4 linked regions of the Lepisosteus oculatus genome follow. Each later gene encodes a partner of the first gene's protein in a complex. Links are inferred from orthologs where the notes say so. Each region holds a gene or a part of one and is shown on either strand. Other genes may lie near its edges.

Region 1 (7,309 bases):
CACTGGAGCTGTTGAAAGAAGTTTGCATGATAAAATAATTGTATGCACCATAATTGTGCCTTCTTTTTACATTTTTATTTTTATAATCAGCATCTGTTTTCAGTGTGTTCCATTGTGGCCTATCAAAACAGGCTTACGTTATGATTGAGTGATTCTAATTTTTCAAAAAAGCAAGATAAATGCACAGGGATTTTTGTTAATGTCTCAAGAAGTTGCTGGCTTATACAAATTTGTGTTGCATCTACATGCTTTACATGCTACATTACTCAGATATATTGACCTTTATCAACTGAATGGAGGCTAGCCAGCAACAGCAGTACCTCTTTGTGCCATTCAGTCCATTTCTGATATCCGAGCTATAATGTCTGGCTTGCATTCCTTTATCAGCCTCACATCAATGTACAGTATGTGCCAGGATGAAAAAGACATCAACTGCAATTGACATTGAGTTATAATGAAAATGCGAGGGTCTTGTCATTTGAATTTGGCTGATAGAGGATTCTTTAGTGAGGACAGGGTAGGGCACCTATCAGAAGAAGTCCTGAGTTAGCTGAGGTGGAATTGAGATACAGGGAGTGCTGTTAGTACACTATTAGAACACATCATCAGTGTTTAAATACTCCAGGCTTAAATTATGTTTATTCCTGAGCAATATACTCCAGAAATCCAATGGTGATACCTGCCAAAGAGGACTTCAATAAACATACTGTAGTTTGAAGAACTCATTTGATTAACTGTATCTTGCAGTGGCAAGTGCAAAGATAAATCACGTCAAAGCATTTTAATAGAACCATTGACTTTTTTCATCTTTTTGGATGTCTACCTACAAAACCATTAAACAGAACTTGATTTTTTTTTACAAAAATCAAACTGAATTAGGATTGTAGGACAGTATGTCCATGTGAAAGAAATGTGAACTTATTGTAACTTTTGCAACAAGCGAATGGAAAAAATGTTGCATAATTTGCCAAAAAATATCATCAATACCTTACATAATTACATATAAACAGAGAATTCATTGAAGTTTCTCCCTCCTCCTTCTACCTGATATTTTTTTATGTGACGACCTGACACATTCTTGGATGACAATTCAAAAGTTTTCCAGGTAACTTTCTTCATAAGTAAGCTCCCTCCAGAGCTCCATTAATAAAGTTATTTTTTCTTCGTTTTCTTCTAGGATAAGTTTGCTGGACTTCATTTTTTAATTGTTACACCATTTTTATAGGTCTGTGCAACCTGATACGTGCAATAATTTAAAAATGACTTCTGTATGGTACAAAATAGCTATAATTAGTAACGACTGCATTCAGGCTGTATATCTAGCATGACTTTCATGTCTGATGTGTTTATATCACAGTGAAATCAGATTTTCTTGAAGAGCCTTTGAAAATCAGGTGTGTAATAATGGCCGCCTTTTTTTTTGGGATTGTGTTGACAGGTTTGGCATGTCATCACACTGACAACATTCACTGTCCTGCTTTTTGTTTGAAATGTCGTCTGTAGTGATCAGCGACACCTGTCTAATTCTCCTCTCTTTTATATTATTAGGTATTCCATTTGTCATTGCAGGGAAAGGTGATTTAACCATTTTGGTAATAGAGACATAAGAAATCTAGACCGTTTGTTTTTTCAGTCACTCCTCGATTCAAGGATGTCATCTGGCTACTTCTCGAAAGAAGCCAGGGTTGAGGGCTGTAAAAATGTGACTGGGTATTTAGCCTATTACAACCCTCTGTGTAAAATGAAAAGATGAATTGGAAAATGCCTATTGCATTTTATGAAGGGGTTTTAGGGGTGTACTCATGATGAAGAATTAAGTGTTCGGTACATGCTTCCGACAGCTTTGATGTTGCCTCCTTGTAGGAAGTTACCTTCAATAGCAAATAATGAAACAGGGATGACCAGAATTAGCTGGAGCAGAGGTTAGGTATGGCAGGTACTGTAACTATCATTGCCAGAGGGAGATGACATGATTTTAAAAGCTACTGGGTAATCAATGTGTTTGTACTCGCATAATGTAGTCCAGGACATGGTTAAGTGATCTGTTGTTGGGAGTGTCTAAACACCCCTTACAAATACACCATCGGAAAAACCATGTGACATTTTGCAATATCATGATAGAAATTGATTTTATTGAGCAAAATATAAAAAACAAAACCATCTAACCATCTAATGGTAGGTTTTCAAAGAACTTTAGGGAAGGGAACATAATTTAACAGAACTATCAAAGGCTTAAACTAATCATGTTCTGCTTGTTTGCTAGGGAATGTCTGTCTGCAGGGATTGCAGAGATTATACCAGTCAGATGAAACTGTTGCACAGAATAAATTAAGTCTCGACCACTATTGTTCTGCGTCTGGGGCTTTGCATGTTGCTGGTTGTTAACGTCTTCCAACTCATTTAACAAAACCCTAATTCTCTTTACCATTTACACCATTGTACTTCGCCAACATTTGTACGTATACATTAAACACGAACTTACTAATGGCGGGCCTTCATGTTGTATTCAGATTTTATCACGGTTTTTCTCCTTAAAAACCATTAGCGTAGTCAGGAAATTAAAAGAACAGAAAAAGTTTACCAGGGCATGGAGAATGTAAAAAATCCCCCCAAAAGTAGAGGAAGCTGAAACATTAAACCTCTAAAAGCCCCATCTTTGTCCTTTTTTTCCACAGAGTGCTTTAAGACCCATGTGATACAGAGGTGTGAGGCTTTCCCAGTGCTAGCGCTGAAGGTATTTTCAGGTATCCATTTCCTTCTGAAATGCATTGGCCTGTTGCCTACTGCCCAGGTATTCAGGGAGCTCCGGGCACAATAGGGGGGTTGCGTGTAACGATCTCTTATAAAGTCCCTGCACTTCATTCTTTTCCCACATCCAGATATCGGCACACTATTCCTCTGCCTTTTTATGCACTGTGGGAGCTCGCTGTCTCCGGATAGTGTTCCAGCAGCATGAGAAAAGGAAACGCTTTTTTTATTTTGCCAAAGAGGAAACCAGAAAAAAAAAGAGTTTAACAATCGAAAACTCATAAAAACGTAAGAGCAGGCCATTGGGCCCTTTGAGCTCATTTGGTTGCTAGTGGCCGGAGGATCTCATCCAGTCGTTTAGTGAAAGGAAGCTGGGGGCGCCAAGCTTCAACTACTCCGCCGAGTACCTCGTTTCAGAATCTTGCGACGCTTTCAGGAGAAAACCAACTGCGGTTTTCAGTTTAAATCCCCCGTAAGGAAATTAACAGGAGCATATCTTGCATTTTCAAAAGGATCATTTAAAATGCTGATAGCTTTGTATCATCACATCTGTGCTTTCATTGTAAAAACGATTTTTCAAAACATAAGTAGGACAATATTGTAATTGCAATAATGCACATCTAGCCCTTGCAAAACCTGTAATGAGTATGTACACACTCTGAAAGAATATTCTTGTGAGCATCTGAGGGGATCACCCTTAGGGCTATCATCTACTGTAATCAGAAGTGATTTTTTTAGCTAAATATAGATGTGGTATAAAATGTATTTAACAGTTCTCACTTTGTATAAATCAAAACTAAAAGTGCTGAGATGTGGAGCATACCCATTTTTCCCAAGTGGTATTCTTATCAGTGTGTAAAATTTCAACTAATCAGAAATGAGTGCGAACTGTCATCTTTACTGTGAAAGTGTGCACGTTAGCAACGCAATAACCTGAATCCTTTTGAAAGGCACTCTTATATTCCTTTTAAACCCATCTTCTGTACAGTTGTAAGCAGCAGCTCCATCTACTGGAGTCTTCATACCTTTGATGGCACTTTTATTTAAACTGTACTACACGAGTGAAATAATTACCTTCAAAACCAGGATCAGGAAACCTATTATATAAATAACTCCCAAAGTGGAACGGGATTTTTATTTTAAACCTGTCGTATCGGTGTTGCAGACAATTTAAGTCAAAGCAGGAGTAAATTAAAGGAAACTTGTGCTGGTCAATTTTAAAGCGTGATTATAACCCACGCTTTAACCCAGGTACAGGATTTACCACTCCAATCATACCAAATGCACGAGGACGAAATGTTGCTTATTTTTATATAAACATTTGCATCACGTTACCTTTACAGCTGATTAAGAAACAACTACCCATATTTATAAATACGATGGTGAATTAATAATCTCATAAAATAGAACAAGACTTTTCAATGTTCTATTAAACTTGCAACACAAGTAAAAACGTACATTTTTACGCTTTATCTAGAACAAACCAAACGGTCTACGGAAATAACACTATTGGCCTAGAGGCGATCATGTGACGGTTGTATGCTTGTCCTGTAGTAGTCACGTGACAGGGGTGGGTGTACGATAGTTAATGCCTGTGGAGGATTGTGCTGGAGTTTCTGGTGTATTGTTTTGTGTTTTTGGGTCTGAATCATGTCCCTGGAGGTGGAATCGGCGGAGTAAGTTACTTAAAATCTGACCTGTTTTTTGGGGGGGAAATTAAGGCATTGTGATTTTAAGTTTAAAAATGTGTTTACACGGTAATCGTTACAGTGTTTGCAGTAAGGTTTTTAGGCCTAGCTAGACCGGTGCTTCAGAGGATACTGCATTGCTGGCAGTTTGTTTTAATGCCTTAATCTTTGATTGAAAAGTGTATAATCACACTTAAGGTTCGTTCTTGTTGCCTAATTTGTAGTGTTAATCCAAAGGCGAAATGCAACGGCGCGCATTAACGTACTAGTGCATCTATGGGTGTAACTTTACAGTCACAAAACGTGTGCTTATTGTAGGTGGATTTCCTTTGCTTGTTGAACTCCGACCTCCATGATAGCAGCTAAAATGTTGTCTATTTGATGGTTAACTGCAAAAACAGCTTGTTACAAACAAAAACACTCTTAACGGTATGATATTTTAATTAGTCGATGTGTAGTTCTTTCAGCACATCGTATAAGTATGTACTCACATCAGGAATGACAGCGAAATCCTGTGCAAGTATTTATACATGTTTGTAACTTGCGAATTGTAACTGCTAGGAATTCTAAGGGTACTTTTCATTTCTGTATTTGTAAAAGCTCCTTATGTGTTGTCTGAATAGGCTGCGTATTTTGAACGAAAAAATAATTAAGAAGCGAGGCAAAAAAAACAAAACCTTAACTATTGCCATACAATTTCTCACAAAGCATGGGTTCCAACTTAAACGAAATGTTTCAATAAGTCTGGTATTCTTATTTTTTCGTCAGTAATACTCTTTAAGTAGTACCTCTCCTTTATGATAATGGAGTCCTATGAAAGTGCTTTGCATTTCGAGTCTTCCATTTAAATTAGATTTTAGCATTTAAATTCCAGATGTGTAACCTCATTCCCCCTTTCTGCCTTATTAAAACAATAGCAATATGGATCCAGACAATGTATCAATTTATAGAGTTAAGATACCATAAGGGTTAAGACTTGAAAGAGCCAAGTGTACTTTCACCTGTGCGGTTGGACTTAACCTATTGCTAGAGCCTTTCCTTACCAGCAGTCATATCACCCTGCACTCACAACTGGCAGCCCACTGAAGCTAAGCAGGCGTGAGCCTGGTCTGTACCTGGATGGGAGACCTCCTGGGAAAAACTAAGGTTGCTGCTGGAGGAGGTGTTAGTGGGGCCAGCAGGGGGCACTCACCCTGTGGCTCATGTGGGTCCTAATGCCCCAGTGCAGTGACGGGGACACTATACTGTAAACAGGCGCCGTCCTTCGGATGAGATGTAAAACCGAGATCCTGACTCTCTGTGGTCACTAAAAATCCCAGGGCGTTCCTCGAAAAGAGTAGGGGTGTACTCCTGCGTCCTGGCCAAATTTCCCATCGGCCTTTATCAATCATGGCCTCCTAACAATCCCCCTCTATGAATTGGCTTCATTACTCTGCTCTCCTCCCCACTGATAGCTGATGTGTGGTGAGCATTTGGGCGCACTATGGTGGATGCTGTACATTGATGGTGGTGGAGGGGAGTCCCCATTACCTGTAAAGCGCTTTGAGTGGAGTGTCCAGAAAAGTGCTATATAAGTATATAATAATAATAATATATAAGTATATAATAATAATAATATTATTTCCTAGTGGTTTGCAAAGAACAGTTGTGTTTGAAATTGTTCGTGTTTGAGTTTAAAGGGTGGCTTGGTTCATTCATATAATTTTGCCTTAGTATTGCCAATTTCGGGCAAAAAGAAAAGACAATTGTGAAGTTGTCGTTACAATATAATTTTTTGATTAGTGTTAATTGTTCTATTAGTGTTTTCATTAACTGGGCGTTGAATGGCTTTTCAGCGTGATCCGCCTGATAATGCAGTATCTGAAGGAGAACAATCTTCACCGGACCCTGGCCACACTGCAAGAGGAGACCACGGTGTCACTCAATACAGTGGACAGCATTGAGAGCTTTGTGGCTGACATAAACAGTGGTCACTGGGACACTGTTTTACAGGCCATTCAGTCTCTTAAGCTGCCAGACAAGACACTTATTGATCTCTATGAGCAGGTACGTTTTTGCAGGTTGATGTATTTCTTAATTTCTTTTGTTTACATGTTTTCTTATGTTGTTTTATTTTTCAGTCAAGTTTACCATTAACTATTAACTATAAAGACATCCAAAAAGAGCAAGATGGGAAACAGGCCTGTGTGAGGAAAAACAAAACAGAGACACCTTCTTAACATCATTGAACCCGTCACTCTAGAAATGCTGTTAGAAACTACTTCGTCTCACAAAGAGTAGTTCTTCAGCTGTCTGATTCCCAACTACTCTGCCCCTAAACACTCGACACATTTAAAAAGGGCAGTCCCCACTCCTGAAATAAGAGGAGATCTGTAACGCTGACGGTACAAACACAGTATTCACATTCACACCTGAACCGGATCAAAGAAGACAAAGCAAGTAAAAAATTCTACTTATATTCATACAAGGCATGTGTGTGATATTGGAGGTATTTTTTTTATGGGGAATTGTTCTGTGTGAAAATTGCGTGAATTTTGAAGTGTTTGATGCTAATTAAGTCCCTCCTCCCTTATCTTGGTCTCTGTGTGGGAGTGAGCCAGGAGCCCACCTCATTACCCTGCCCTGTCATGAGGGGCTGTGGTGCCTTTCTGTCCTGTACCCAGGTTGCTTGTATGCTTGGAAGAATGGACTTTCGTTCCTTATCCTGAGTATATGAATAGCAGAATGTTATGAGTTTTTCATGACGCACAGTTTGCACTCACAACTGTGAAACCTTTTAAAACTTTCTAAAGCCAATACAGTCCAATAACACCGGCAGGTAGTGTGTGGCAAGTTAACCTCTAGATGAACCTCTTCCAACCCTGGGTCTTGCC
Region 2 (7,129 bases), on another chromosome or scaffold:
CCCAATGATGCTAAGCAGGTGTAAGCCTGGTCAGCATGTGGATGGAAAACTCCTGGGAAAACTAAGGCTGCTGCCGGTAGAGGTGTTAGTGGGGCCAGTAGGGGGCGCTCACCATGTGGTCTGTGTAGGCCCTAATACCCCAGTACAGTGATGGGGACACTATACTTTAAAAAGGCACCGTCCTTCAGATGAGAAAAATAGTAAAATAGTCCTGTCTATGGTCATTAAAAATCCCAGGGCGATTCTCAAAAAGAGTAGGGGTGTTACCCCAGCGTCCTGGCCAAATTTCCCATTGGCCCTTACCAATCATGCCCTCCTAATAATCCCCATTTATGAACTAGCTTCATTACTCTTTTCTCCTTTCCACTGATAGCTGATGTGTGGGGAGCATTCTGGCACACTATAGCTGCCGTTGCATCATCCAGGGGGAGCTACACATTGGTGGTGGTGGAGGGGAGTCCCCATTACCTGTAAAGCACTTTGAGTGGAGTGTCCAGAAAAGCGCTATATAAGTGTAACAAATTAATAATAATATTATTATGGCAAATGACCACGCGAACCACAATTTCAAGCAAGCACTTACTGCTGAGCTGCAGCTTCTTCCGGACGCCTGGGGTGGAAGAACACTTGGCCTGCCGTCGGGCACTCAGGCCTTTTGACTGGGAGTACTTGGAGGAGGAGTGGTGGGACTCAGCCTGGCTTGAGGCTGGCACCCCCACACTCACCGCCCCAGCCAAGGCCCTCTTCATCACAGCAACGTCGGGGGTGGGCAGGCTGCCTCTGGGAGCAGGGGCCAGAGAAGCCCCACTGCCCTGTCCCACCTGCTCAGCTGTGACCGCTCTGAAGGCCTTCCCGTTCCAGGACAGCTTGACGTAGAGGGTGCCGTTGCTCTGCTCCACTGGGAAGGGGGCTTGTGGCTCCACATGTCTCACCTGGAGAACACAGAGTGCCTTCAGACTCGTCTCTCCTTAAGAAATCACCTTCAGAAAGGAATGCGGATCTCCCCCAAGCTTTGCCATGTCATAAGCCAATGCCACCCTTATTAGCAACAACATTTCACTGACTATTTAATTAAGGTTCTAAAAAGCATTTTAAATGAATTATTTTTCACATTGTAAATAAAATCCAAGTAGCAAGATGTTTTGCCCATGTTCTGATCACAAACAGAAATGTTTCATGAGATCAATTTTTAAAGTCTGAGGAAATATCCCAGATCACCTTCAACATACATGTGTGTCTGTGATTTTACTCACCTCCACAGCACCAAGAATAGTCTCCACATCTATTTCACAGTCACAGTTAGTCACGTCATACAGGAAGATCTCCTGAGGGTGGGGCGCCCTGCCCAACATCTTCCTCTTGTTAGAGGGCACCTCCGAGAATCGGGCAAACCACTGCACCTCTGCTCGCTTATTCTCTCTTTCCCTAGGACCTAAAGATGAGAGAACCATGCCATTACTTTTAACCTCATAAGTGTCTCAAGGAAAAAGAAGGGCTAAAGAAACACAATTTGCTACAACCTCACCACCTCCATGAATTTAAGCGATCTTTAAATTCTTTCAAAATACTTTCATGGTACACATGCTCTATATCAGACTGGAGAAGAAATGCCTGCCAGTGACTCACCACTGCCGTAGAGTTTGAGTAGTTTTGCAATAAAGGGATTGTCATCATCATCGCCTTCGATCAAGATGTACTGGCCGAGCTTTATAGAACTGGCTTCTGAAGTGCCTTCTGCATACATGAAAAACCCACTTGAAAAACAGAACAAATTTCGTTCAATTTAGTTTCAGAACCAATATTAAGTTTTATGTGTTAACTTAATTGAATTAACTTACTTAGCACTTTTTCTCTATGTATCTGCAACTAAAGTGTCTTTGTGGACTTCATGTCCTCCCTGAGACCTGACATTCAATTACAATTTGTGGCTTCAAAACCCTCATGGTTAGGTGCCATGATGGACTCTTCCTATGACGGACAGCACAGACAGTATGTGAAGGTAGAATGTTTAGTTTACAGCAAACAAAACATATATAACATTCCACGTAAGCCCCAATATTTTACTGCATCCCAAGTTATCATTCTTGACTGTATAAACAGAGAAAAGAGTTAAAACCTTAGGTTATGGACTTGATCCAGAAGTCACACCAATGTGATACACAATATAGTTACATCCTTTGATCTATGATATACACAAAACCTACTGTTACTGCACTTCAATAAATGTAAATAACATTGTTCTTAAATTGTTATTCTCAGTATTGTATAAATTCTCTTTAACCATTTACCCTACCACTTTAAAACTACAGGTTAGTTTGCTACCTTGCTATATGCCACTCAGTCACACTCATAAGGTGTACCGCAGGACTCTGTCCTAGAACCCCTACTCTAGACCTGTTCCTTGAGTCACTTCCACATATACTTTTTACCTCTCGTTTTGTCATCAGATTTCTCCCTCTGGCATGCTCCTGTGATGACTTCAAGAGTGGTATGCAGAATCACCCGCTTCCTTACCAACTATTCCACACAATTCCAAATGATCAGACTATTGTAACTCCCTCTTTTGCCGACTTCCCTGTTAATACTACCCGTTCACTCCAACTCATCATGAATTCTCTTGTTCACCTTTGCTCTTCACTTGCTACTCCATTACCTGTACCCCTCCACTGCATCCCTGTTACTGCGATTCAAGACCCTACTTCCCTCCCACCACTCTGCTCCTGCCAAACCTGACTCCTGTATCTCTCCCTTCAACCTCCTCAGCAGTGCAATGAACTGCCAACAGAAATCCAAACAGCTCAGTCCCTGACCACCTTTTGGCACCTGCTCAAGACTCACCCGTTCAGAAAGGAGATGTGTCTTCTCAGTACTCAGCTACATACCTCAGAAGCTCAATCAGCCTGCCCTAAAAGCCTTTTGTTTTCAATTTGACACTGGAATTCTCCTACTCAACTGAAACATGGAACTCACAGCATTATTGATCCGTACTAGCACTACCTAGATAGGCATGTTGTTGTTATGGGATTTTACTGCCTCACTTGCAAGTGCAGGTTCTGAGATGCAAAAAGCAAAATAGGCAAAATGGACACTTCTAACATGTAACCTTTCTTATGTGTCCTTGTACTAAACGATGGGATGAATGCAGTGTAAAAACACAACTTATTGATAATGGTTTTTAGTAGAAACAAGCTATCTGATTGCTAAGGAAGCCGAAGTCTTGAACTACTCACTCGTAATAGAAAAACTGCAGTTTCCTGTCAATGAGCGTAGGTTTTCCATTCCAAGTGTACACTCGCCTTTTCCTCTGCCTGGTTAGGTACCGGCTCATCTTTTTATCTCCTAAGGTGCACGAAAAGTAATAAAGCATTCAAAACTGAAATACTGAGAAAATGTGTTTTTAAATCTTGATTTTGAAGAAGAAAAAGTTTCTGAGTAAAGTTATATTATATCAATAGTGTCAACTGAGGTATTCAATTGAACAGTATGTTTAACTGCGTTACTGTCATTCTGTACATAAAAAAAACGTAACATGGAAACGACAGTGTTAATGACATTATGTGACTGAATTTTGAAAATGATGCTCATCTTCATGGAAATGATGGTGAGTAGTCGTCAACAACCAAGAAACAGTGAAATCCATGTGAACATAAACACATTGGACTCTCAGATTCCAGATGGAACCCAGTTATTCTTTCTAGATGTTACGATTTAAAAGATGTACTTACAAAATGAATGTCTAAGCAGGAAAGTAATGCCGCTTGATTTCTTCAGTGCACTTCAACTGATAAAAAAAGTTTGTCCAGGATGACACACAGGTAATAAACTATACCTCAAAAGTTTAAATAACGAAGGTGTGATTTTCGTTGTTAAAACAATCTTTAAAACGTAATTTTCTACTAACAAGAAGTGTTTCTTGTCATTTATTAATTCGCCTAAAATACACCAGACTTCATACAGTTATACAGTTATATCACTTCCTTTACTTTATAAGAACTACCCCCACCGACACACGCTACACTTTCCCGGGCTGGGTGCTCTGTGCTCAGTGACGTCATGTCACGTGACACGAGCGCTTGAAACACACGCCCTTTGACTCCAGAAGTGTATGTTTTCTGCACCGGAAACACTTGTGTTGCGAAGTGTTTTGAGAGGACTGTAGAGGAAAAATGGCTAATCGAACTGTGAAAGACGCTAATAGCATTCATGGAACAAATCCACAGTATTTAGTGGAGAAAATTATTCGCACACGGATCTACGAGTCAAAATACTGGAAGGAGGAATGCTTCGGACTTACGGGTGAGCAGTAGCAGAGACACGTGGTAATAATTGAATAAGTAGATATGGTAAAAATACAAGTGTGAACAGAGCGCAATTCGAGTAATTACAGTAATATCCATGGTAATACTGTCCATTAAAAAAAATTATAAACACACTGCTATTATTTGAGGCCTGTCTGGTTTTAATTTAATCTCTAGTCCAGATACAGAGATTTACAGCTGTTTGATCCATTTGACCAATTGTAATCCACCGTTTAGCTGCAAGCAGTATTAGCAATAGTAATTGGAAAAAAAACATAAGTGAAGTGTTGTGAGTAGGTGGCAAAAACAGTTTAAATAACCTCACAGATTTCGTTAATCTGTGCCTTCATTAAAACGTTACAGTGTTTTTGTAACGTTTGTCTGCTGATTGTCTTTACCACTTTTATTTTCTATGTGCAGCTGAATTGGTGGTGGATAAAGCCATGGAGCTGAAGTACGTTGGTGGAGTTTACGGAGGGAATATTAAACCCACTCCTTTCCTCTGCCTAACCCTGAAGATGCTGCAGATCCAGCCGGAGAAAGACATCATCGTGGAATTCATAAAGAACGAGGATTTCAAGTAGGTGTAGTGCACTGAGCTGAAAGACAAGCTATTGTAAAGAGGGCACGCAGAGCTTCTAGTGAGAAACGGCAGTATGTGGTAGATGTTTTGACAGTTCCATTGTGTTTTGGAGATGCTTGTTTCTTGTTTCTTTGGAGATGCTGAGCTCACCATGCAGGTCTTATCGTTAAGTTTTCTTATAGTTTTTCTACCTTTATGCACTGGCTTGTATTCATCATTTATCATACCATGAGGTATTCTTTCTGAGGTAACATTAAGGATGCTACATTTGTATGCTATATTTTCTTCCATTTAAAAAGTTCTCGGTACTAGCCCTGCTGAGGATACAAAGTGAAAGTCACATTTATTCCCTGTAGGTATGTCCGTTTGCTTGGAGCCTTGTACATGAGACTGACTGGTTCATCAGTGGATTGCTATAAGTACCTGGAGCCATTGTACAATGACTACAGGAAAATCAAAAACCAAAATCGGAATGGAGGTGAGCTTCTTTGTTGTGTGCATGCAGTTGTTTTTAATATTTTACGACAAGGCCGTATTTTGTGGCAGCTGTTTTGTTAGAGGCATATGCCAAGTGAGATTAACTGGAGTTTAGTACTTTTTTTTTTAAATGCTTGTTCACACTATCTTGCCTTTCCATTTCTCAAGAGTTTGAGCTGATGCACGTGGACGAATACATTGATGAATTGCTGCACAGCGAAAGAGTGTGTGACATAATACTTCCTAGGCTACAGGTATGTAGTAGCTCTTTTCATTCTTCTGCACTCTTATAGCAGGCAAATCTCTAGGAATAGCAGATTAAAGAAGTTCATATCACTTTATAATAATAATTAATAATAATTGTTACACTTATATAGCGCTTTTCTGGACACTCCACCCAAAGCGCTTTACAGGTAATGGGGACTCCCCTCCACCACCACCAATGTGTAGCATCCACCTGGATGAAGCGACAGCAGCCATAGTGTACCAGAACACTCACCACACATCAGCTATTAGTGGGGAGGACAACAGAGTAATGAAGCCAATTCATAGATGGGGATTATTAGGAGGCAATGATTGGTAAGAGCCAATGGGAAATCTGGTCAGGACGCCGGGGTTACACCCCCACTCTTTTCAGGAAACGCCCTGGGATTTTTAATGACCACAGAGAGTCAGGACCTCAGTTTTATGTCTCATCCGAAGGACAGTGCCTGTTTTACAGTACAGTGTCCCTATCGCTATACTGGGGCGTTAGGACCCACAGGGTGAGCTCTCCCTGCTGGCCCCACTAACACCTGTTCTAGCAGGAACCTTAGTTTCTCCCAGGAGGTCTCCCATCCAGGTAGTGACCAGGCTCACACCTGCTTAGCTTCAGTGGGCTGCCAGTTGTGAGTTGCAGAGTGATATGGTTGCTGGCATGGCCTTACATGTCTTGACAAGTTTCTTTGATTATGATCGCGATTAAAAAGCACTTGCAGAGTCGGAGTCTGCTGAACAGGTGTGCAACGAAAGGTGTGCATCTGTTTTGCAGAAGCGGCAGGTGTTGGAGGAGGCAGAGCTGCTGGACACTCGGGTCAGTGCACTGGAAGAGGACCTAGACGAGGTGGAGACCAGCGAGGAGGAAGAGGAGGAGGAGGAAGAGAAGGTAAGGGGAACCAAGAACTCTGAACCTCGGTCTGCAGGATGTTCTTCTATCTCACAATTGTTTCCTAATTTTGTTCCCGTTTTCCACTTGGTGTTTCTTCTGTTGCGGTGAAATGCGGTGACCTCCTGCGGTCATGGCTTGCAGCCGGAGAGAGGCCAGTCTCCAGAGCCCCACCGACGAAGCTACCGCGACGTAGACAGGCCCCGCCGATCCCCCTCCCCTCGCTACCGACGCAGTCGGTCTCCCAGGAGGTAAGCGCCTCGCTCTGTTTTTTCTTTCCCAGCAAGAGTGCTGTGATCACTTCACTTGATTAAAGCTGTTGTCATTTGAACGTTTTTCTCAAGGTGTTTTGAGATCATCGGTGTGAAAATAGAATAACCATGTTTGAGAAAGTGACTCCAAAACAGCATAACAAAATCTTAAAACTTTTTATCTTCCTCTTTTGTACTTTCAGACGGAGCAGATCACCTAAGAGGCGCAGGTAATATAATTTTTGAATTCCTTCTTTTTATGGCAACATTGATTAATCGGGGATGTAATTAAGTTGAGATTTTTGTAGTTACTAATTGACACTTATCACTGGCCAATTCCCAATCTATGAAATATAAATTACCAAAGTGTTATTTT
Region 3 (7,457 bases), on another chromosome or scaffold:
TATACTTGGTTTCAAGTTCCTAGTATATCCATAATTTTAATTTTACATGCTTCATAAAAATCATCATGCTCAGCTCATGTTGAACTAAACTGTCAAATCTTAAACTCCTAATTAAAGAATGCATGTTAATAATGCCTTATCTGTGTTCATTACTGTTGTGCAAAAATCTGCACCATTTACATTCACCATCTAGGAAGACTTGGACATTTAATAAAAATACAACCACAGCTTTTCACTTGAAATGAGTTTCTGTGAATACTGTAGATGGGCTGTAGAGTAGACTAAGGACATGAAATTACCTTTTCAGCCACAGTAACTTTAACTCAGCTCTTGTTCCAAAAGAATTCTTAATTGTTAAGTGATGCAGTATAATAATTAGAAAACCATAACCATAAGTCATAAGTTTATGACTTCCCTATCACTTTTTAAAATTACTGTTTGGATTCAGGATGAGAAAACATGGCTTACCTGCTGGTGGACCTCCATATATTCTCTGTCCATTGATCTGCACAAGAGAGACTCCTGTGCTGTTTTTCCAAGCCTGCAGGGATTCCCAACTTTCTTTGTTCACAAAGTTTAAAATACTATGGGAGCTATCCTAAAACGTCAGAAAGGAAACATCATCTTTACAAGGCACATCTGTACTTAGTATGTCCTGTGTACAGGAGAAATAACTAATGTAATAAGTATATTATATATATATATTATACGAATTCCTTGCCTATACAATGTATTGTGCCTTTTAGCCCAATTTGAATGTTAGGAAAACAAGATTGTTTAAAACCAATATACCAAAGTTAAAAACCCTACCGTTTTGAACAGTTCTATGGCTTCCCTCCGAAATCTACAATCCCAGCATTGTACCAACCAGGCCCAGCTCAGCTTAGACTTTGAGATCAGATGAGATCAAGCTCTAAGGTGGTAATAAAGCTGTATTTATCCAAGACTGCCAGAAAACGTTCTCAATTTCTTTAAGTGCTGTTGGCTTAGAAAACAGTCAACACTAACAAATGTTTACATTATGCTGAACGACAGTAACGTACTGTTATAAAGAATTAGAATAATTCCTTGCTTAAACAAGGAATTCTCACTTCATTTTTTAAAGAAAAAATCTACTTGAACCAATAATTTAACAATCAGGTTGTTCTTTTGTCCTTCTCAACCATTGTGAAAAGAGTAATTACTCTATTAATCTGGAACAGTATTCTTTTTGATAACCTCCCTCCTAAGTAGATTTTTAGTCTATTAGAATCTTATGGAAACTCTTCCTCCAGTACTGACCCTTATATTTCATACACTGGCAATTAAGCCATATATCACTTAATAACTAGAAATGTACCAATTAAATCACACATCTCCGCACTCATATTCAAATATGTACAGATACGTGGGTAGGTGTGGTTTGCCATTTTAAAAGTATTGAAGTGATTTAGTTCTTAGTCTTAGGGGAATGTGATAGGATAATGTGTAAAAGCTTAAATATCGCAAATAAATCACTGTGCAGAGACGGATATTTTATTGATAGTGATAGCAGTTTCAACAACAAATACGACACCACTAAAAACGACATCTTAAAATTAAAAATCTAGAAAAGGTTAGGACAAACTGGAAATCGTTTCAGGAAAATAGGATATATAAGAACAACGATTCACAAACCTAACATTAAAAAAAATGGAATATGCAAAAATAATTTAAAAAATATTAATGCATAATCAAACGGACAACTGACCCAAAAACCGTGTAAACCTCAACCACCCATGTTATAGCTTTTGTTAAGTCTATGAACAGCAGGTGCGCAATTGTATTTTTCGGTGAAATTCCGGCATAAGCGTTTTTGAAAACCAGAACCTGCACAAAAAGTCAAATTAAATGAAAAGGTCTTGATCATTAACAACGTTTTACGTAACTGACCTCTGGGAAAAAAAGTGTCGGCAACACCTTATTTTAGCAGATTGTAACGATTTTGATATTACTGAAATAAAACACCTGCGTATTTTATTTTTTCAATGAGAAAACGTCTAACCTAAAACCTACCGTTGTCGACTCCATTTATAATTCTTTTTCAAAATCTACTGCAACACAAACTGTTCTCAGCTTCGCAATCACTTTTGCATACAACTTTTGACTTCTGGAAACTTCTACAAGCGAGAAAGTATCTTTCTGAATAATTTGCATGTTGTAGGCGGTGCTGCAATGAAGGCGTTGAAATTCGTAAATAACGCACGAATTGGTAAAATCACAATTCAGGGAACAGTTCTTCTGAAATGTAAAAAACAAATCACAGCATGGTCACAACAGCAAAAAAACAAAATCTTACAACATTAGAAAAACGACGTTAATCATGTTCTTAGAATTGGTCTGTGAACGTAGATTATTTCCAGATTATATACGAGTATTGTGCGATGTTTTATGACAACGTTTTAAAAAAGTACATGACATAAATAACTTATCACTTGACTGCTTTCAGGAATTTCACTATAAAATGTTACAAAGCAGATATCGTCGCGTTTCACGCTCATCTGCGTCAGTTACACCAAAACACGTTTTCCGGAGAAGGTGCGATCTGCGTCCACGTGTTATTAAGACGCACTGCCCATGCTGGCCGGCGCTGGAAACGTGGTTACAGACAGCGGGCGTCCACACGAAAGCAGTTATTACGTTTTCCAGAATGTTATATATTTGCTGCTGTCGAGTGATAATCCGTTCATTCTGTGCCTGCAACGGAAGATCGAGCGTAGGATTTTGCATGAGCACGATGAGACGAGCACGTCTCATTGAGCATGATTAAAATCAAATGCGTCAAAGGCCAGAATCATATTCTCTTAGTCGTTTTTCTTTTTTACTTTTTGCTTCTTCTAGGACTTTCCTCTGAAGCTTTTTCGCTCAGTTTCGACCTTCTCGGCACTGGCTATACAAAACGCGGGCTATATCAGCGTAAGCTGCTGTTATCAAATTGTCTTCCTTCTCGCCCGACGTATTTCTGGACCATAATGAAATTCCCAAATAATACATTTGGAAACTACCGCACTTTTTCGCCGTCGTCCTGCGATCGGAACGTTAATGCCTTGGGCAACGCGACGTAGGCTGCAGGACGCGTGCCTGAACTCGAGGTCAGGAGGAGCTGCGGTGTTGATCCGAAAAGACTTCAGCAAGAAGACTGTCGGTTTGTGCTGTTGCATACAGTACCACCAAAGGGAGCTGTCAGTGAGGGCTGTGCGCAGTGTTGTTATGAATCAAAACTACCTTTTTCTGTTTAATGTTGTTAAGAGTTTTCGTCTTGAGAAATACGTTTCGGTACAGTTTTTTTTTTTTTAAATCATGGTTTCAGGTACAAACGAGAGACCATACAGCCCTGTTTAGCAGCTTTGTTAGTTATTAAGTTAATAACTTATAATAAAGTTAGATCAACTTAGATTGGGTATTTCGCAGCTGTGCTATGGATCAATTCCCTCCCATAATAGAAAGGAATACGAGCTGATTGTTACACTGGGAGCATTTCTACTCTAACATAATCAAATTATGCACAGATATTTTTTTTTACAAGGAACTGCAAGGCGTTTACTTTTTTTCGACAAAACCTTAATTACGTCTGCTTGAGACATCCTGTAATATTGTCTATGGGGTCTTATTAATTAAAAGTATATAAGAGTTCATGACCCTTATATGAGACCGGAATGCCCCCCCACGACAGGCTGTAGTGGGACTGGGATGATAGGATTAAAATGGATGTTAATGTTTACACAGCTGCAGTGGAAGTTAGATGAAATACTACAGTGGAGACCTGGTGGCTTCACTACTTATCCTGGACACTTACAGGACGAGAAACTGCAGATCATGCACTGTGAAATACAATAGCCAAAGAGAAAGCAACAGTAAGGAAGTATATAAAGAATATATAAGGTGGTAAAAGAGACAAGACACAGAAAAGTGAGTCACAGAATAGTGGAACTATTACGTTTAACAAGTAAAACTATTTAAAAATTAAAAATGTTCGAAGTACTTACTCCTTTTGTAGAGCAAATATTAAATTACATCTTGTGTGTGTTAGTTTCTGTAAGAAATAATTCTTTTGTGAGATATCAGATATCTGTCAATATCTGCACCACAAATGCTCAAGAAGATTCATGAAGACGAGGGACTTTGCCCGATATTTCCTGCCCAGTGAGGAGTGCTATGATTATAACTTTATAAAATTTATTGTACAAATGTTTTGAAAAACTATAGTTTTGTGGTAACTGATTTTAAACGTAAACTGTTATTTAATACTACTTTTATTACACAAAAATGTTTTTCATCCGTTTATTTTGTACACTGTAGCCCATCCTCATCGGAAATGATGTAAATACTGTGTGTTTCGGAAAAACAATGATAATTGTTCCCCCTTTTGGAAAGAACTCCTGTCCAGAGGGTGGCAGTAAGGTTAATGGTTAAAACGCAGGAAACCCCAATGAACTCTAGGCAATACAGAAACATGGGTATAGTTTTACGTCTACATAATTTACGACAGCCGTATTCTGTTATGAGCAAAATGGCGTCCGGTAGCGGGGTAGGTTTTGAGTGTTCTTTCTTTTTATTTAAAAAACTGCAAGTTTCAATAGTTCTTCAACAAAGAATATTTCCGTTTTTAAAATGTCTACTTCCATTTATCGCGTAAGCGGTTTAATTTGATTATAGCCGCCTTACTGATAAAGTAGTTTAGCTACCAGACCTGATGGTTTAACTAATAATACCCCAGACTGGTGAGAATGTTTTGTTGGTTGAGTATTTTGTAACTTGCCTGAATTATGTACAAATTGTAAGATCATTTCCTGGGGGGTTTATTGAGATGGAGATGGTGTTCTTCGAGATCGTGCTATGTGATATCTAAATGTATTTTTTTTCCAAATACTTTCATACATATATGTGGACAACCATATACATTTTCTATACATCAGACATCTAGAGCAGAGTGACAGTTTGAAGTCCATGTGCATTTTTAAATGACACCTGAAAAGCTATTGCCTGGCTGAAGTCGATTCGGTGTTTTAAGTTTCTGTTCAAGTCGTTATTCTCCTAGGAAAAAAAGTAAAAAGTAAAACAATTTGCTCAAATGACTGTATAGCATTTTTTTATTAACTAGTTTTAACTTCGATATCGCATATATGTCGCTGGACTTATGGTACCTTCTAAAGTTATCGTGTATTTAGTATTGATGCAAAACTCTTTTATTACTAGACAAAAAATGACTTCCGAAGGAAATGGGATAAAGATGAGTATGAAAAGCTGGCTCAGAAGCGCCTCACGGAGGAAAGGGAGAAAAAAGATGGTAAGATAGCCTCTGGCATCCCCTTAGTTTTAACTTTAAACACATTAAAAGTTTTTTTTTGTGTTTGCGTCTTACAGAATCTTATAAGGTGCTAATCATTTTGACTCCTGATGATGTGATAGGAATAAGTACTTTGCGCTAATATAAATACTGTTAAAATAACAGAAGCATGGTGTAGTTTTGAGTCAGATTCCTCCTGGTCATTGTGGTCAATGAGAATTTGTTCTCATTTCACCATTCCATAAAATGCACGAATAATGATTGTGTCATGTAACGGCCCTTTGACTGTAAACTCACAGGTTAGTTACCACACACACTGAAAATTGGATGACTAAATGTGTTTGATAACTTGAGCATGTGGGTACAAATACTATGTTTAGCCTTATTATAGAGGTCCCAAATAACATATAGAAAACCTTCACAATGTGTATTAAAAAGTACTGTTGTAGAAACATAAAATCATTTTTTTAGAGCTGCTACACTAAATCTCACTCAGGTGTAAATAATAAAACCTACATATTTGGGCTTCAGTATGTAGTGGAGGTATGAATAAAAATGTTCTGGCGCCATTAACTGCATTTGTTACATTACAGGCTCATTTAGTGAAGTTTGGTTCATGTCTGGTTGTTTTATTTTTGCATCAGGAAAACCTTCTCCGCCTGTTAAACGGGAGCTTTTACGACACAGGGACTACAAAGTGGACCTGGAGTCTAAGCTCGGGAAAACCATTGTCATCACTAAAACCACCCCGCAGGCGGAGATGGGTGGGTAAGTACTTTCAGGCTCGTCGTCCCACCTGATTGCTCATTCAGAGACAAAATCTTGTTCTAGGTTTTGGTCTTTACTGTTTGTTTGAGATTTCTAAGTCCTGAAACTTATTGGACAAGTGTGTGGTATGGTGATATTCAAATTGTACATACACAGAACAGAAAAAACAATTAATAGTTCACTACTTTCCACTTTTCCACAGGTTTATGTACACCTGATAAATTCTCTTGCATTCAGTTCTTTTAATAGAATACTCTGTAGAGATGGCAAGTTGAAAAAAAGCGAGCTTAGTACTGTCATTGTTAAATGGATTAATCTGTTATACCACAATATAGGAATGCATTAGCTTGAAACTGAAACCAAAGATTAAGAAATGTTATGAGCTGAAAAAGGTATTTTTGGTTATTTTTTCAATGAAATCTTAATTTAACCCCCTTTGTTTGTTTTTCTTTGGGTTTCCAGATACTATTGTAATGTCTGTGATTGTGTAGTGAAGGATTCAATCAATTTTTTGGACCATATCAATGGCAAGAAACGTAAGTACAGACTTTGAGGAACATACTGCTATTTAGCATGAAGGTTTATCTCAGAAATTCTTGCTTTTGCTGTATTAATCTAGATGGTTCTGGTTCTATAGATGTCCAAGACATTTTGCAACACTAAAATAATTTTAAGAATCTCACGTTTGCTTCCTGTACTCATCTTTCATTTTTAATTAAATGTAGTAGAATAATTTACAGAACTTTACAGTGTCTTTACAGAGCAGTATAATTCTGCAGTGCCAATCCTCTCCTCACAATATTATGCTTGAGCATGGATTTCATGTCTTATTTTGCCGCTCTGAGGGAAATTCATTTTTATGAAGGTGTCGGAAATCTTGTCGCTGGCTCTGCTTTCAGATCAGAGAAATCTTGGTATGTCAATGCGGGTGGAACGGTCATCCCTTGATCAGGTGAAGAAACGTTTTGAGATGAACAAGAAGAAGCTGGAGGAGAAACAGAAAGAGTATGACTTTGAAGAGCGCATGAAGGAACTCAGAGAAGAGGTAATTTGCCAAGGGCTTCCAATCACAGTACAGTTTGTTTGCCTTATGCAGTGCAAGTCTAGGATCTACCCTTGATCCCGGAGAGCTGCAGCACCTACTGTTTCAAATGGTAACCAAGCCCCTGGTACCATAATTGAACAAACTGTTGCTCTACACTGGTTAAATTTAACTTATTCAGCCACTAATTCTTGGGTGGCTTCAAAGTGTGAAATATTCAGTGCCCTACAGAACTGTGGTCAGTAACCAGTGTTTTCAGTATTTTTTTTTTTAGTCTTAATTCTAATCTGGTCTGCTTACTTTGGCCTTCAGGGTCTTTCCCTAACAGTTTGGCTTTAGAAA
Region 4 (7,776 bases), on another chromosome or scaffold:
AGGTTCAGTGGGTTACAACTGGAAAATACACCATTCTTAATCTCCAATACAAATCCAGGTACAACAGTTTCCACTAAGTGTGGAGGTGGAACTGAGTCTTGGAGTCAGTACAAAGAAGTGAGGTCATGTGCTAAATGTAGGTTAATGAAAATTGAACATAACCTAGTACTAGAACAGATTTTTGTGTTTCTTTCCTTAGATGTAGTGGAAAACATTTGCAGCATCCTTAGTATATTTATCAAGCAAATTCAAACAAGCCGGTATTTCTTTGAAAAAAAATCTGAGATGTGGGAAAACAAACAGAATGTGTTTAAAAATAAATGTTTTGCACAGCAAACTATTCTAATTAGTTTGGCAATTACTTTGTATGGCTGATAGAGTTCTCTGATGTTCAAAACCCTTTGTTTGATTAATATTTGAAGGATAAATACAGGACAAACTTTCAGAGTTTCAGTAAAGTGCTGTTTGTGTTCTTTCTGGTGAAGCATATATCCCTCATGGAAGCCAACAGTCCTGCACGTTAAAAAAGTCCACTGTTTTTTGTTTTTTTGAAAATGCTGCAGCTGATTTCTCCCTTGCTCCGTTGCCTTGGGAACCTGCTAGCGGGCACTGGAGGCGAAGTTTGTAGAGAGCAGATCAGGGACAGCAGGCTGCTGGTGGCGCTGTGTGCCTTTATTCAGGCTTTTCTGCAGACGCGGACATACATTGCACGAGAAAGCCTATGGGTCATGAATAATCTTACAGGTAGCAACCAACTTTTATATCTGAAGGAAAAACTTTTCTGGAAGTGAGTTATTATAGTGCCTAGTTTCCTTTTTGGATTTCCTGATGAATATGTAAGGTGATACTTGCTCTAGCGGAGTACACAGTCACCTTCTTTGAATAGAAATGTTTGTACTACGAGCGTTTCTGCTTGTTTTTACTTAAACTGAGGTTTTGTATAGTTTAAGATGGTATATGGTGTCGATTATGGCAGTTCAAACTGCTCATAAGAAATCAGTCACTGCAGAAATTTGGTTTCTCTCTCAGATGAGATTAATCCACTGTTGAAGTAGAGTTTTTAATCTTTAAATTATATCAGTATCTTACCTACCAGTCAGTGACCCTGTATTCTCACGTGCTTGACTTGGGTATGCTGGGGAAGTGATACATCTGTATTAGCCTTACATGTTTTGTGTTCCGCTGATTCTGTCCAGCTGAAGATGCCATATTCTGCTCAGTGCTGCTATACTTAAACCTGGTACCTGTGTTGATTGAGCTGCTGCCATTCTCCAAGGGCATAAACATTATGGTAAGAAACGTGGGGATCGGGTTATTTCAAGCACAGTATTTTTTGTAATGCATTTTAAGGTTTTTATGCCTCTTTCAATTTAGGCCCTGCGTGTACTATGCAACACTGCTAAGAAAGGACCGGAGTACTGCCAGCAGCTGCACCAGAAAGGGGTGCTGTCAGCTCTTCACACAACGCTCAGAATGGCTGATCCTGAAATTATACATCTTAGTCTAGAACTGCTGCACATGATGGTGGCTGGCAGCTCCCAGGTAATGTGATACCGAAAGCCTAGATGATTTTTTTCCAAGTTATTAGAACTTGTTATATTTTCTCCATATGTGTGCTGTGACAGAAGATACTGGAACTATTCAGAATTGTGTTTTGTCTTTCTGGTAGTTGTATTTCCACACTAGGGCTGGTAGCACCTGCCCCTCAGAGCGTAGATGATCAAAGCCAGACTAAGCCAGTGAGGCATGAGTTTTATTTATTCCTGATTTTTCTGTTGATTTAAAACTCTTTTCTACTATTTATAGATTTGAACATGTATGTATTACACCAGCTCATAACAGCAAATCTTTTTTTCCATGCACTGTGTTCATAGGTTGCTTGTGAGCTTGTGAAGCAGGAGGGGATTTCACTGCTAGAGGCCATCCAGTATAACAGCCAGGAGGAGTTAAGGATTCGGGCCACTTTCATTCTGGATAGATATCTCTCCCCACAGGTCCTGGTAAGGACAGCTGCTTGAGCAGATGTTTTAAGGAGTTTGCGGAGGAACTGATTTCAAAATGTTGTTGAGTGCGTGGTTGATTCCACAGATGTGGAAACTAACAGAACTTTATGTAAAATATCCCTTATTGACTTTTAATGTTGGTTGTAGAATTAAATCTAAGAAATGTGCACTACAGAAAAGTTATTTCCACATTCATGTATGAGATATATCCATCATGTATGCCTGTTGTTTGAGAGCAGTAAAATGAGTTTAATTTTTTTCCTGTTTTAAAGGCAAATACTCCTGTTGAATGACACCCCAACCATGTTGTGCTAAGTGGCAGTATCAAGAAGAAAGCTTTGTGTCATAAATGCTAAAGGTTCTCAGGGAACATACTTTAATTTTGCAATGCAAATTTCTTTTCTATATGGCTATTTTAGCCATTACGCTTATATGGAAAAGATTTTATGTTATAAAAAAATCAACTCAAATACAAACTGCTGCAAGTCACATTCATCAAAAACCCTGTTACAGAGAATATAATTTATAATTTTCTGGTTATAAAAAAACTTTTCCAGATTGTCATCATGAAATAGAAAACGAATTATAAAATGGTAGTTTAAGGTAGACACCTTAATATAATAATAATAATAAAAAACTTTATTTTATATAGCGCCTTTAAATGCAAATAATGCAAATTCACAAAATGCAAAAAATGTTACCAACTTAAAAGATATTCAATTATAATATAAACCCAAGAGAATCTGGTCATTTAGTATGCCCCTGAATGTATTTTATAAAAATTACCCTTGGCTCTGCCTTCCCCCCCACCTTCTGCAATCCTCTAGTCCTTGAAAAATAGCAAATGGAACACTTAATTTAGTATGCATTATAATATGAAGTGTATTTGTTTTATTTTAATAAAATATTCTAATTTAGTTTGTGTGTGATTTATTGAAGTTATAGTTTTGTTAAGCAAGAAAACGCAAAAACTCATTTGTCATTAAATACATTTTATTGTACACTGGCATATCAATGCATTGGGGTTGAAACAGACCGTTCACCCAAAGTCCACAAAATACAGGGCACAGACACCACCTGCACAGAACTTCCTTTTCTGCTTCTCTTCATGGTTTAGCATTAACCACAGACTCCAATGCCTTGGCTACTTGGGCAGCATTCATGTTGTCCAGAGCTACACTCTTTTCTTTGCCAAACTCTGCAACACAAAAGCAGCAATTCAAGCCCCGCTCGGTCGTCCTATGAGTTAAAACAGAGCAATACCCTTATTTTGATACTTGTGATACATCTCCTTATGCCCCAAGTGTATGCCAGATGTTAAGATCTCCATGTTCCAATACAATTTCGACTTAGTAGACTAACTTGAGTTGTTTTCACTTCCTGAACAATCAAAGATTATATTTGTAGGTGGAATCAAAAAGGTCTAGTTATGTTAGTGTAGCAGCAATTTCTGTGCAGCATATTCTGTTAAACAGTGGTGTCACTAGGAACAGAATAGGCATGGTAGATATGCCTGGTAAATATGTCAGAATTTAAAGAATCCAAAACAGTAACCAAGGTTCCAAAGAACTATATTGATGTTTGGATTTCATTCCTGCTGAATTCTGAATGTCCTCAAACATCTATCATTCAGTTTTGATCCATTAACAAAAGCCACCCAAATGTAAGTTTAAATCAGTACATCTAGCAAAATGACAACTGTATATTTTAGGAATAAATTAAGTAAATGGCTCCCAATTTCCTTCTTCGTTATGGCCCAATGCCAGCTGAATTCCCTTACAACTGGATTTCAGTAAATATGTTTATTAATCCGCTGATCGCCGTACACCTGTTCAAGTACTGTACTCGGACTCACCGTATCGTGCCCACAATTTAGGCTGAACACCAGAACACTCCCTGATTAAGATTGGAAACTCAGGGTTAGCTTTCTTCAGCGTCACATAGTGCTGCTCGATGAAATCCCTAACGAAAGAATAAACAATCGTATATTTTTAAATGTCACTGTCTGCCATTAACCGACCTGTCCAGCATACTTTGCAAAACATTTAGGAAGAATTAGAAGGTAATAAATAAAATACTGCTTTTCGTTTTTACATATTATCCAAATGTACAATACCAACCCCGATGAGAGATATAATAAACTTATTTATTTATTTTTTATATAGTACATTCCTGTAAATTGAGAATTTGCTATACCTAGTTGAAACAGCAGCCAGTGACAGCGGTTCAAAGACTGAGTGTTTATAAAAGCACTGTTTCCAATGCAAACAGGAGATACAATTTCGGCAAAACATAAAACATTCTATACTGTTAAATACAGTTGTACGACTTCTCCAAGCAATCAAATTGCGATAAAAAATGTCGTTCTAGCAATACCTGCTTTCTTAATACATACCTGACCCCTTGACTACCCGCCGAGGTCTGACACAAATGTAAGCGGATTTCTTTAAGGTTTCTCGCAAGATTTGACCCAATACTTCTTGCAACAGCAGCCATGATGTTCACCTTTAAAATCTACAGATTTGCGATACTCTCTACCACTTCCTTTAGGAGCACCGCCTTACCCAATGAGTGCTTAAAGAGCATCCCATTGGAAAGCATCATAACCAATCACATATCACATTTTAGAGGGGCGTAAACAACTCACCAATCAGCGTGGGAACAAAGTAGATAGACTCTCAGTGATAACCAATTACAGCAGGATGCTTCTGACCAATGTCTTTAGGGTATTTCAAGGCAATCTTAGTCGATAGTCAGAATTGCGACAACCGTGATCGATTATTTTTCCTGTTCTGCCATTTCCGGTAGTGAGTTTTGTGGACGACGGATGGAGTAGTAATTTGCTGTGTTTAAGTGTCTAAAATAATATTTGCAGATTGATTTTCGGTTTTAAAACGTAAAAAATAGATGTAAGGATCCTCTTTGAAGCAGAGAAACGTAAACCGCTTCAAAATGCCGGAACGAGACAGTAAGTTTTGTTTTCGCATTTTACCTCAAGTACTTGAATGTTGCTGTTATTTTGTTTACGAGGATAAACGCGTTCTTTGTTATTGTATAATTTCAAACGTACTTACATTAGTTAATTAAATCCGATCGCTTTTATGGCTAGATAAACACATCGATTGAATATTCTCTGTAAGCTTGGAATTAGGGGCAATGATTTACTTGAACTGGTTTATGTTGGTGTTCAGGGTTTTTGTTCTTAATTAGTACTGTCGCCCAATGTCAATTTTTTTTTGTCGGTAAATGTTTGTATTATTTAAATGCACGACTAACTATAGCCAGTACATCGATATGCTTGACAACTATCGTTGTAGTTTTAATAGTGGGCCTCACTACTATTGTGACTCTGCTCCGTTGTCTATGGGATTGTACGTGTGTTCAGAAATTAATTTTTATGTCGTGACTACCTCATAATGTTTAATTATCTTATAATAGTAGGCCTCATAATTGTGTTGTCAAATTTTGTAAGCATTGATCTTCTCAGCATTGTAACATTCAAAGAAATCTTTGGATTTAAAAATCAATAATAGTTTTTCGCTGGGAAATTTGATCTCTTCAGAGGGATTCAAGAATTTTAAGATACGATTTCTAATTAACATCTTAATTTTAAGATTATAAGAGCATGATTTCAATCAAGTATACCATAAAGGGAGTTTGTATAAACCTCTTCCTTAGTCAGTCAGGCCTCTAGGGACACATTTCTAAGTGCTATTCTCTGGCAAATGTTATACATTTCTATTGTAATTTTTCATTAGGCAGCACCTTATTCAACTGGGGTGTTCTTTTTAAAACGTTTTCCTATAACCTTTATATTTGTTTTCCTTCCCTCCCCTTAGGTGAGCTGTACTCAAATCCCCTGGCTCCAGATGGCCATGAGGTGGAAGATCATCGGTCAGCTCTCCAGTGAGTATCTCCATATTGCTGTGTATTTGTCTTATGATGTCTTATGAACTTATGATTTCCCAGCTTTCCATTGTTAGCAAGCTCCTTGTTCTTGTCCAAAGTAATTCAGGAACTCAGAGCATATTTCAGAAGCATGGGGCACAAAGCGGAACTGCGTTGTGGACACACACACACACAAAGACTATAAATAGCCTGGACAGCATGTCATTAGAAATTTGGAGAACCTGCAAACTCCTTACAAAAGCTGTTCCAGTACAGAATAGAACATAGCACCCAGTAGCAGTGAGATAGTAGCACTGTTGTACCACTGTGCTGCTTCACTAATTATTTTACGCTCGGCAATCCATATTAAATATGGAGACTCTAGTTATTTATCAAAATCACTCAGTTTTGCACTTTCTTCCAGTGTTATTTTGACAGTCTTATATAATCTTGTGATCAGTGCCCACTGAGGAACTAAAATAAACCCACCTGAAAAACTTATATTCTTAAAATAATCCAGTGCAAGGTATCGAGTACATTTTCATTTCTGTCATACTTTAGCCAAAGAGTTAAATATTACAGAGGTGGATTCAAATACGTTGAGTGTTTTTTAAGATGTTGTAAATGTGTCGGAAGGTTTCTGCTGAATGATCATGTTAATGTTCTTTTCTGCTGCTTAGGTCCAAGCTGACAAATGAAGATTTCCGAAAATTGTTGATGACCCCGCGGGCTACACCTTCAACAGCCCCTCCTTCAAAATCTCGCCACCATGAGTGAGTACTGATGGGGCACTTTTTTAGGACGGGAAACCTTAAGGTTTTCAACAACTGCGTCTCATAGAACGTCCACAGCATCGTCTGCTTGTTCCTGTATTTGTTACACCTTTTCTACATCTGTCAAAATAGTTTTAATATGGTAGTAGAAACACACAGTTTGTCTTATCAAAAGCTACAAATTATTCGACTATCAATAATTGTAGTTATCTGCAAATGGAAGAGCCTCATGTTTCTCATACTAACTCGCCTTGTATGGTTCCAGAATGCCAAGGGAATACAATGAGGATGAAGACCCAGCAGCTCGAAGAAGGAAGAAGAAAAGGTGATTTTTGTCAATTTTATTCAACCACTAAGCAAAGTTTGGTAAACTATTCTGATGAATAGCTTCACTAGGTAGTGCTGTAAATATCACCCAAGGTAAACACATAGGTAAAGGAATATAGGTTGAGCATAATTGCATAAATTGAACTCTTTTTTTTTCGCTCCATTTCATTGTTTTAACTTTCCTGCTTCACTCGCAGTTACTATGCCAAGCTTCGACAGCAGGAGCTTGAACGAGAGCGCGAGTTGGCGGAGAAGTACAGAGACCGAGCAAGGGAGAGGAGAGATGGTGTCAACAAGGACTATGAGGAGACTGAACTCATCAGCACCACAGCCAACTACAGGGCTGTGGGCCCTACAGCAGAAGCGTGAGTGTCTCTCAGCCCGTTCCTCACACACCTCTCCTGTTTCCTTCCACCCTACATGAAGAGAACTGCCCTTCTCACTAGCCCTCCCTTCAGAACACACTTCTTATCTATCCTAATTGCTTGTCAGCCAAGAAGATTTATATTTGTGAAGTTCTGCAGTAGCTCTATACATCTAATATGACATTCCTTTGTTTCCATGTTCTTGCAATGGTGTTTTTGCATCGATGGAATTTTTAGATTCCAGCAGGTGTTTCTTGAATACATTAAAATGGTCTTTTCTAATGATCATTTTATATTCTCCTGTTTTGGCAATTAACAGCGATAAATCGGCAGCAGAAAAGAGAAGGCAACTGATCCAGGAGTCCAAGTTCTTGGGTGGTGACATGGAGCACACTCACTTGGTGAAAGGGTTGGATTTTG

The links.
Region 2: WD40 repeat-containing protein SMU1 (region 1) and prpf38a share a complex: the UniProt entries of both Homo sapiens proteins name them as parts of the spliceosome B complex. The link is inferred for Lepisosteus oculatus from reciprocal best matches to the Homo sapiens genes SMU1 and PRPF38A.
Region 3: WD40 repeat-containing protein SMU1 (region 1) and zmat2 share a complex: the UniProt entries of both Homo sapiens proteins name them as parts of the spliceosome B complex. The link is inferred for Lepisosteus oculatus from reciprocal best matches to the Homo sapiens genes SMU1 and ZMAT2.
Region 4: WD40 repeat-containing protein SMU1 (region 1) and ik share a complex: the UniProt entries of both Homo sapiens proteins name them as parts of the spliceosome B complex. The link is inferred for Lepisosteus oculatus from reciprocal best matches to the Homo sapiens genes SMU1 and IK.

The regions. Positions count from the first base shown.
Region 1 is NC_090696.1:33,605,796-33,613,104, reverse strand, and holds the start of WD40 repeat-containing protein SMU1, read left to right. Parts: upstream 1-4,302; 5' UTR 4,303-4,398; coding exon 4,399-4,424; intron 4,425-6,271; coding exon 6,272-6,482; intron 6,483-7,309. UniProt on the Homo sapiens protein: Involved in pre-mRNA splicing as a component of the spliceosome. Regulates alternative splicing of the HSPG2 pre-mRNA. Required for normal accumulation of IK.
Region 2 is NC_090704.1:14,897,435-14,904,563, forward strand, and holds the start of prpf38a (pre-mRNA-splicing factor 38A), read left to right. Parts: upstream 1-4,109; 5' UTR 4,110-4,166; coding exon 4,167-4,296; intron 4,297-4,718; coding exon 4,719-4,878; intron 4,879-5,237; coding exon 5,238-5,359; intron 5,360-5,526; coding exon 5,527-5,612; intron 5,613-6,388; coding exon 6,389-6,502; intron 6,503-6,646; coding exon 6,647-6,753; intron 6,754-6,956; coding exon 6,957-6,983; intron 6,984-7,129. Other genes in the region: orc1 (origin recognition complex subunit 1), read right to left, coding at 584-932, 1,254-1,432, 1,627-1,754, 3,231-3,328. UniProt on the Homo sapiens protein: Involved in pre-mRNA splicing as a component of the spliceosome.
Region 3 is NC_090706.1:32,663,378-32,670,834, forward strand, and holds the start of zmat2 (zinc finger matrin-type protein 2), read left to right. Parts: upstream 1-4,442; 5' UTR 4,443-4,447; coding exon 4,448-4,546; intron 4,547-5,214; coding exon 5,215-5,305; intron 5,306-5,949; coding exon 5,950-6,073; intron 6,074-6,535; coding exon 6,536-6,609; intron 6,610-6,972; coding exon 6,973-7,118; intron 7,119-7,457. Other genes in the region: dnd1 (dead end protein 1), read right to left, coding at 469-598, 2,035-2,049. UniProt on the Homo sapiens protein: Involved in pre-mRNA splicing as a component of the spliceosome.
Region 4 is NC_090706.1:32,600,314-32,608,089, forward strand, and holds the start of ik (protein Red), read left to right. Parts: upstream 1-4,774; 5' UTR 4,775-4,955; coding exon 4,956-4,971; intron 4,972-5,842; coding exon 5,843-5,909; intron 5,910-6,571; coding exon 6,572-6,664; intron 6,665-6,929; coding exon 6,930-6,989; intron 6,990-7,188; coding exon 7,189-7,356; intron 7,357-7,675; coding exon 7,676-7,776. Other genes in the region: tmco6 (transmembrane and coiled-coil domain-containing protein 6), read left to right, coding at 564-744, 1,197-1,291, 1,375-1,542, 1,875-2,000, 2,276-2,296; ndufa2 (NADH dehydrogenase [ubiquinone] 1 alpha subcomplex subunit 2), read right to left, coding at 3,110-3,201, 3,859-3,965, 4,399-4,499. UniProt on the Homo sapiens protein: Involved in pre-mRNA splicing as a component of the spliceosome. Auxiliary spliceosomal protein that regulates selection of alternative splice sites in a small set of target pre-mRNA species. Required for normal mitotic cell cycle progression.